Linked DNA regions of Arabidopsis thaliana. The protein of the gene in region 1 interacts with the protein of each later gene in a pairwise test. Each region holds a gene or a part of one and is shown in the gene's direction. Other genes may lie near its edges.

Region 1 (3,756 bases):
AGGAACTGCAATGATTAGTTTTTACTCGAGTGTAGGTTTGATCAATGAAGCCATGAAGGTTTATAACAGTTTGAATGTTCATACGGACGAGGTGATGTTGAATTCTTTGATATCAGGTTGCATTCGAAACCGAAATTACAAGGAAGCGTTTCTGCTTATGAGTAGGCAGAGACCCAATGTGAGAGTGCTCAGTAGCTCTCTTGCTGGCTGCTCTGATAACTCTGATCTGTGGATTGGTAAACAGATACACTGTGTCGCTTTACGTAATGGTTTCGTTTCAGATTCTAAGCTATGCAATGGCTTAATGGATATGTATGGAAAATGCGGTCAGATTGTGCAAGCGCGTACTATTTTCAGAGCTATTCCATCTAAAAGTGTGGTTTCTTGGACGAGTATGATAGATGCGTATGCGGTTAATGGGGATGGGGTTAAAGCTCTTGAAATCTTCAGGGAAATGTGTGAAGAAGGAAGCGGAGTTTTACCGAATTCAGTGACATTTCTTGTTGTTATATCGGCTTGTGCACACGCAGGACTAGTTAAAGAAGGTAAGGAATGTTTTGGTATGATGAAGGAGAAGTATCGGTTGGTTCCTGGAACAGAGCATTACGTATGCTTCATCGATATCTTAAGCAAGGCTGGTGAGACAGAAGAGATATGGAGATTAGTCGAGAGAATGATGGAGAACGATAATCAAAGCATTCCTTGTGCTATATGGGTAGCGGTACTCAGTGCTTGTAGTCTTAATATGGATCTTACGCGAGGCGAATATGTAGCAAGGAGGCTTATGGAAGAGACGGGTCCAGAGAACGCGAGCATTTATGTGTTGGTTTCGAATTTCTATGCAGCGATGGGGAAGTGGGATGTCGTTGAAGAATTGAGAGGAAAACTGAAGAATAAAGGTTTGGTTAAAACAGCAGGACACAGCTTATTCATATGAATTGCTTTGTTTTTTCAGCATTACACTACACTTGAGCTACTGTTTTTGTGTCAAGAAACAGAGCAAGTCCACTAAAGTCTAAAGCATTGTTGTGGAACTGTCTCGTTGTCCTAATTAAGTCAAACACCAAAGAAGACATAGTCAAAAATAAAGTAGCATTGACCCACGAATAGTAGTAGGTGAAAGGGCAATGTCACATAAGGTTTAAGTTAAAGGAGTCGTTGGGATAAGGAGAAGAGAAGTCAAAAGATGTGTCCTTTTCAAAATCTATCCTTTCTTAAAAACATATCACCAGAGAGAATTGATCAAAACCACAAGAAATAATGATTAGAGCGCTGAGCACGAGGAAGGTTCGAGGCAGCTACAAGAAGCTCGGCGACGAAGAAGAAGCAGGCGCAGGGCTTTTAGAAGTGAAACCGGAGAGCGTTCCTACAAATCCCCATGGTCAATCCCCGAAGGTGAATAAACCGGTGGAGAAAACCAGGGGTTCGGCTCACCCTCTATTTAGTTTCTTCGAAATGAGTCTAAAGAGGAAGAAGAAGAAGAAGAGCACGACGACTGCAAAACCAGAATTCGCTAGGTACTTGGAGTATGTCAAGGAAGGAGGTGTTTGGGATAACACTTCAAATGGACCTGCCATATATTACAGATAGATCGGAGAAAGAGATTTCACAGAGGTTGTTTATATTTATTTTCGATTTGTGATATACCTTTCTATTTGAATAAGAAGGATGAATACATACATACATCAAAGTAGAAAGCTCGTCCATAAGCCATGATTCTGCTTCTTTGTGGACAAATCCATGTAATTTAAGTTTACAGTTTGATAGTAAGAAAAATTCTCGGTTTATTACTTGTTATCAGTAATCAGACTGGGTTTACAAATTTACGAATAAACACAGTGGGGCCCCTGATGACTACAAAAGCCTACCCGAAACACCAGGAGATGCCACGTCACTAAACATACAAAACCCCATCAAAACGCAGCCGTTCCGGTGATTCCCCAAAACCCAGCGTGATACGCGGTCGTTGCGAATGAAAGCCTTGGTGAAGAGGTTTAAATTAAGAGTTTGTTGCGACTAAAGCCTTGGAGAAGAGGTTTCTCTTTTTTCTCTCCTCCTCAGTATATATCTAATCTCTGTTTGCTCTTTTTTCGCACCATGTCATATCAATCTACCATCAATCGATCGTCTCTTCTTCCTCCGTCTGCGTTGATCTTTTCGTTTCGTCTTCTCCGATTGATGCTCTGTCGCGAGGTAACTATTTCTATCGAGTGATTTTGCTAGCTGCTGACTGTTCGATTTGATGATTAAGGTCTTGGTTCCGTGATAATCTCTGTTAAATTTAGTTTAGGCTACTTGATGTTGAATGATTAGTTTGATAATCTCGCACTCTATGGTTTGCTCCTTCCCGAAATTGAACTCTCAGATTGTTAGCTTGTTTGTATAGGTTATTAATTGCTTGACATTGATTTGGATTTTTGTTTATCCGTTATCGACTCTCTCGATGTTCATTACTTTATTAGTTGAACAACGCTCTCTCGCTGTTGTGTATCCCTATTGGTGGATTTCTAATTGAAATCTTCAATGATGCAGAGTCATGCCTACATTTTCTGCTGCCGCTTTGGGTAGATCACTAAATTCAGGGACGTCCTTATCTAGTAAATTTCCAAGCACACTGCAGTCAAAGCCGTCTATTTTGAATGATGAAAGTAAGCAACCTAAAGAAAAGACATTCACTCGTCCTCAGATGTCACCTTCTCTATATGCCACTACTAAAGAAATCCCTCATCCCAATTCGCCTTCTTCCTACCCTCCATCTCCCTATATCATCAATCACAAAGCTCGTGGGCCTGTTCTTTTCAATAGGGACTCTGAGGTGGATGGGCCTTCTCACCCGATAACCTCTGGTGAGGAAAAGATTAGTGGTAATGTAGATGTGGAGGCTACTGCCTCCTTGAGCAAGTCCACATCCCTATCATTTCCTATCACCGAGGCTATTGCGGTGGATCACACCAATGGTGTTCACACCCAAGGCATCCATGAACGTCCTGTTTGGGATTGCAGTCCCCCTCTTGGGACATTTTTGAACGAGAAGTCGGGAAGAGATATCAGCAATGGTGGGATTGGAAGTAATAATGCTACCAGTAATTTAGAATGGCAAAGTTACTTATTGGAGCCGGTAAGAATAAAAGCAGACAAGGAGCTTGAGCCTGAAAATTTCTATAACCCAGGTGAATTAGTAAGCTTCACAAGTAACACAGAGGTAGAAGATTTCGAGAGAGCTGAAAGCTCACACAGTCTTGCTACACATGTTGGAGAGTTTTATGATGCTTGCGATGGTACTGTTTCTTCCTACTAACTTTTTTAACCACGAGATAGCTAGAAAATTCTTATGATGTCTGACATTTCTAGCATCATCACTTTTTGCCAGTTCTTGGAGCCTCTTCTCCTTTAGTTTTAAGTGTTATATGCATATATCAGTATGTGATTTTGGTTGTGAAGTGGCCTTTTAGGCTTGGGATTCCTGTGTTTATAGTCATCTTGAATTCGTGATAGTTATGAATCAGATTTCCAAAGACATAGAAAATCTGCATGCATGATTCACTGGTATATCTAAGAAACTGGTTTTAATTTATTCAGTTACTGTTTCTTGGCTTCCAGAACTATCAACTGACAGTGGAATGCAGAGTTCAGCTAACAACATTGAATCTGAGGTAAGGGAGATGAGATTGGGTTTACTAATGGAAATCGAAAGGAGGAGGCAGGCAGAGGCGACTCTAGAGCAAATGCAAGTTCATTGGCGGAGGCTCCGTGACC
Region 2 (3,756 bases), on another chromosome or scaffold:
TCGCAACCGGATCTGTAGAACCTCGGAGAAATACTATCGCGAATTTTGCGGCCATGCAGGAAACGACGATTGCCTTTCAAAATCAACCAAAAAACCTAAACCATTTAAATGTGTTTGCCATGATAATAGGAGTCAGAATATAACTTCAATTAATGATCGATATAATAACTGCATATGTACCTTTTATTGCTAAGTCTTAATAAACAAAATAGTAACTACTAGATATTAATCCGCGGTTTACCACTGCGAGACGATATTTATTAAATAAGAATTTCAAATTTTAAGTTGTATTTTTTTTTATATTGTTTATTTTGTTTAGTTTTTTTTTTTTTTTTTTTTTTGGCAAAATTTTGTTTAGTGTTTAAGATTGTATATTTTTATTTGATTTTGTTAATTTCACCTATAGCACACAATCATGTATTAATATCAATACAAATCCATCAATTCTAAGATTTTATCCGTGGTATAAAGTTTAAATGTTTATAATGTATAAATTTCTTATAAATGTTGGACATTCAGTTGAGAAAGACATCATATTTACCAAATCTAAACAATCTGTAAAAAATGTTACTTCTTAAATGTCGGCATCATTCATACACTTCATCGCCCCTGAAAAAAGTTTCGACTTCTATATAGAGTGGAGATAAACTTCTACGCAAACTAGTAGCTCCTATAATTGGCGACTCCCCATTTAATAAGGTGCAAAAACATCGTAATCGGTTTTAAAATTGATAGCTTAATTCTTTCTATTTTCTGAAAAAAAAATCTTTAGGTCATCATCAATGTCTGCCAATACTGTACTTGGAAGATTGAGTTTGACAGTGTGATGAACGCATCTTGCTCTTGATTAAATATATTTTACTTCCAAAAACGACACACAGTTTTCATCTCCTATGATAAGCCATGCCATGGTATGCGTCAATCGTCACTCTGCCCATTGTATACTAAATTTCTTTCTTTCCATGTTCTAAAGTTTTTTTTTTTTTTTTTGTCGTTCTTTCTTTCTTTCCATGTCCTAAAGTATTTTTTATTTTTTGGAATTACGAGAAAGAACCAAAAAAAACTTGGCTAATGCAAATCTTTGATGTGACCACGGTAGTTTCCATACCTTGCGACCGTATATCTGTATTTATCGCCACAATCGAGGATAAATATGAATATTTTACACATAACTCTAATAGATCTCCCAAATTGTATATAAAAAAAGAAAACTCCGATAGATCTAGTTTAGCTTAAAAAATTGATATGATTCTTTACACAAAACGGTAACAAAGAATTTAGACCTCCATATTTAATTTATATATGTATGCCCACATAAAGCAACATTGTTCTAAAACGCTGAAAGTGAAACATTTAAATATTCTTCCGAATAAATCGACGTGTACACGACATTGTCACCGTTGATCTATTATTGAAGCAATATTTAATTCCTCCGTAAAACATTATAACTCATCCGTAAAGACCGTGAAACATTATAACTTAGCGGTAATATGTAAATTTGTTGTGAAATAATAACATGAAAAGAAACCGAAAAGTTCCTCTTGATAACTTTTTTTTCTTTTTAATAATGTAGATTAATATAATTTTCGTTAATTATGTTTTAATGAAAAAGATTAATTAAACAAACTAATCAAATGTGTTAATTGTAATATACACAATGATACAAAAAATATGAAATAAGTTTTTAAAAATATGTGATATTCCAACAATATTCCAACTTTTCTATAACATCAGGTAAATATTTCTTCACCTTTTCATGTCAACATTTTACAAGAGAAGCATAAAACAAAACAAAAAATCCTCTCGGCAACCATATGCCTTTTAAACTAATGAGGATTTGTACTTTTTTTTTTTTTTTTTTTTTTGGGCACAAACTAATGAGGATTTGTACAAAAGCTAAATGAAAAGAGCTACAAAACTAAGCCCATAGACATATATCTCATGAAGCCACTCCAGATCACCTGATGCTACATCAAACTAAGAATGGTTTTAATTAATATATGGGCCTCAGCTGAGGAAACAAAAGCCCATTAATTTGCTTCAATATTGGTTTACCCGTTTATTCTACATGCCACGTGGAAGAATATGAGTGGTCACGATATTATAAAATGCGTCAAGGTAAACAACAAATAACAAACTCGTTTTCGAGCAAAAAAACTTTGAAGATTGATTTGAAGAAGAAAGCTCTCTCTCAGGTTCTTGTTCTCAACCAGACATTGATTTCTTCGATTTGCATATTTCCCTTCTTCGTCTTACGAATTTTACTTCCTTTAGCGATGGATTTGATACTACGTTGACTTTTATCTTCCTTTTGGAAATGGCAGCGTCGTCTTCTCTTCTTCTTCTTCTTCACTGTCCCACCTGCAATTTCTACTTTGACTCTTCCTCGTACCTTAAAAGATCGAGACTTTCGAGCTATAGTTCGATTATCTCTCGTGGGTCTCCTTTGTTTGTCTCTAGCTTTGGATCTATGACCGTTAAAAGATTCTCTAGCAGAGTCGGAAGCAGGAGCAATGACGGTAACGAACAATTTGGAGCGTTGGAGCAAGAATCTTTCATCAACAACTCATCGGAGATACGGAAAGACTTGGTCACCGGCGGTGGGATTGAAGCCATTGTTAATCGTCTGGTTAGTTAATGGAAATCTCATTCATGCACGCAATGTGTTCGATGAAATGTTTCTTCAGTATCAATGTGTGTTTCTTTCTGACCGGTTTTAATTAATGATGACAGAGCAAATGGGTTGTGTCTGTTCTATTTGGTTCAATCATTCTTTTGCGACATGATGGTGCAGCCTTGTGGGCAGTCATTGGATCGATTTCGAATTCTGCTCTCTCTGTAGTTCTTAAACGTATACTTAACCAAGAGAGGCCTACTACAACATTGCGATCTGATCCCGGGATGCCATCTTCTCATGCTCAATCCATTTCTTTCATATCTGTCTTTGCTGTTTTATCCGGTAAGCAGCTTAAGCTGTTCACTACTCATCGTTCGCTATCGTGGAACTGTTTACAACGGATTCACTCGAGTCGTGTTTTCTGCAGTTATGGAATGGCTTGGAACCAACGGTGTGTCTTTGTTTCTTAGCGGCTTAATCCTCGCATTGGGTTCATACTTTGTAAGTCTGTTATAACAAGTTTCACCTAATTGATTCAAGCTTTTCATTCATATATGAAATCATTTAGTTGCCATTGATCTCACACTCTCTGCACTATCACAGATACGGTTAAGGGTTTCTCAAAAACTGCACACAAGCAGTCAAGTGGTGGTGGGTGCCATTGTTGGTTCTCTTTTCTGCATCTTATGGTACACAATGTGGAATTCGCTTCTTCGTGAAGCCTTCGAGGCATCTCTATTAGTGCAAATATCTGTATTTCTGTTTGCAGCTACATTTGCGCTAGCTTTCGCAGCGTACGTTGTACTTAACTGGTTCAAAGACGAGAGATAAGCAATACCAAGCTTTACTTATAAAGCTTAAAATTGTTATCCCTCAAATTCTTTTCAAAATATCGAAATGAAGGATTCAGAGCCCGTTTGTTAAAATCAAGATTTTAAAAAATAAGGTTTCTTTAAGATGTAAGCAAGGCAAGCACCTTACACTAGAGCTAACATTGAATGTTAATAAGAACCAAACCGAACCAAATATTAGTGACTGTGGCTGCCACTCATCAGTATGCCACCGCAAGAAAAATGTGTTTGCAGCTACTCGGAGCTATACATCCTCTTGAGAACAGTTAAAACAATAACCAAATATGT

What was found. Proteins that work in one complex are often made in the same cells at the same time.
Region 2: the proteins of AT5G66480 (region 1) and LPPepsilon1 interact in a two-hybrid assay, tested with the Arabidopsis thaliana proteins (one large-scale study listed by BioGRID).

What each region holds. Positions count from the first base shown.
Region 1 is NC_003076.8:26,545,257-26,549,012, reverse strand, and holds the start of AT5G66480 (bacteriophage N4 adsorption B protein), read left to right. Parts: upstream 1-2,012; 5' UTR 2,013-2,193; intron 2,194-2,532; 5' UTR 2,533-2,536; coding exon 2,537-3,278; intron 3,279-3,600; coding exon 3,601-3,756. Other genes in the region: AT5G66500 (Tetratricopeptide repeat (TPR)-like superfamily protein), read left to right, coding at 1-937; AT5G66490 (uncharacterized protein), read left to right, coding at 1,261-1,590.
Region 2 is NC_003074.8:18,922,095-18,925,850, reverse strand, and holds LPPepsilon1 (Phosphatidic acid phosphatase (PAP2) family protein), read left to right. Parts: upstream 1-2,078; 5' UTR 2,079-2,317; coding exon 2,318-2,629; intron 2,630-2,733; coding exon 2,734-2,959; intron 2,960-3,044; coding exon 3,045-3,118; intron 3,119-3,220; coding exon 3,221-3,448; 3' UTR 3,449-3,547; downstream 3,548-3,756. Other genes in the region: AT3G50925 (Defensin-like (DEFL) family protein), read left to right, coding at 1-193. UniProt on the Arabidopsis thaliana protein: Exhibits phosphatidate phosphatase (PAP) activity in vitro. May play a secondary role as PAP in plastids.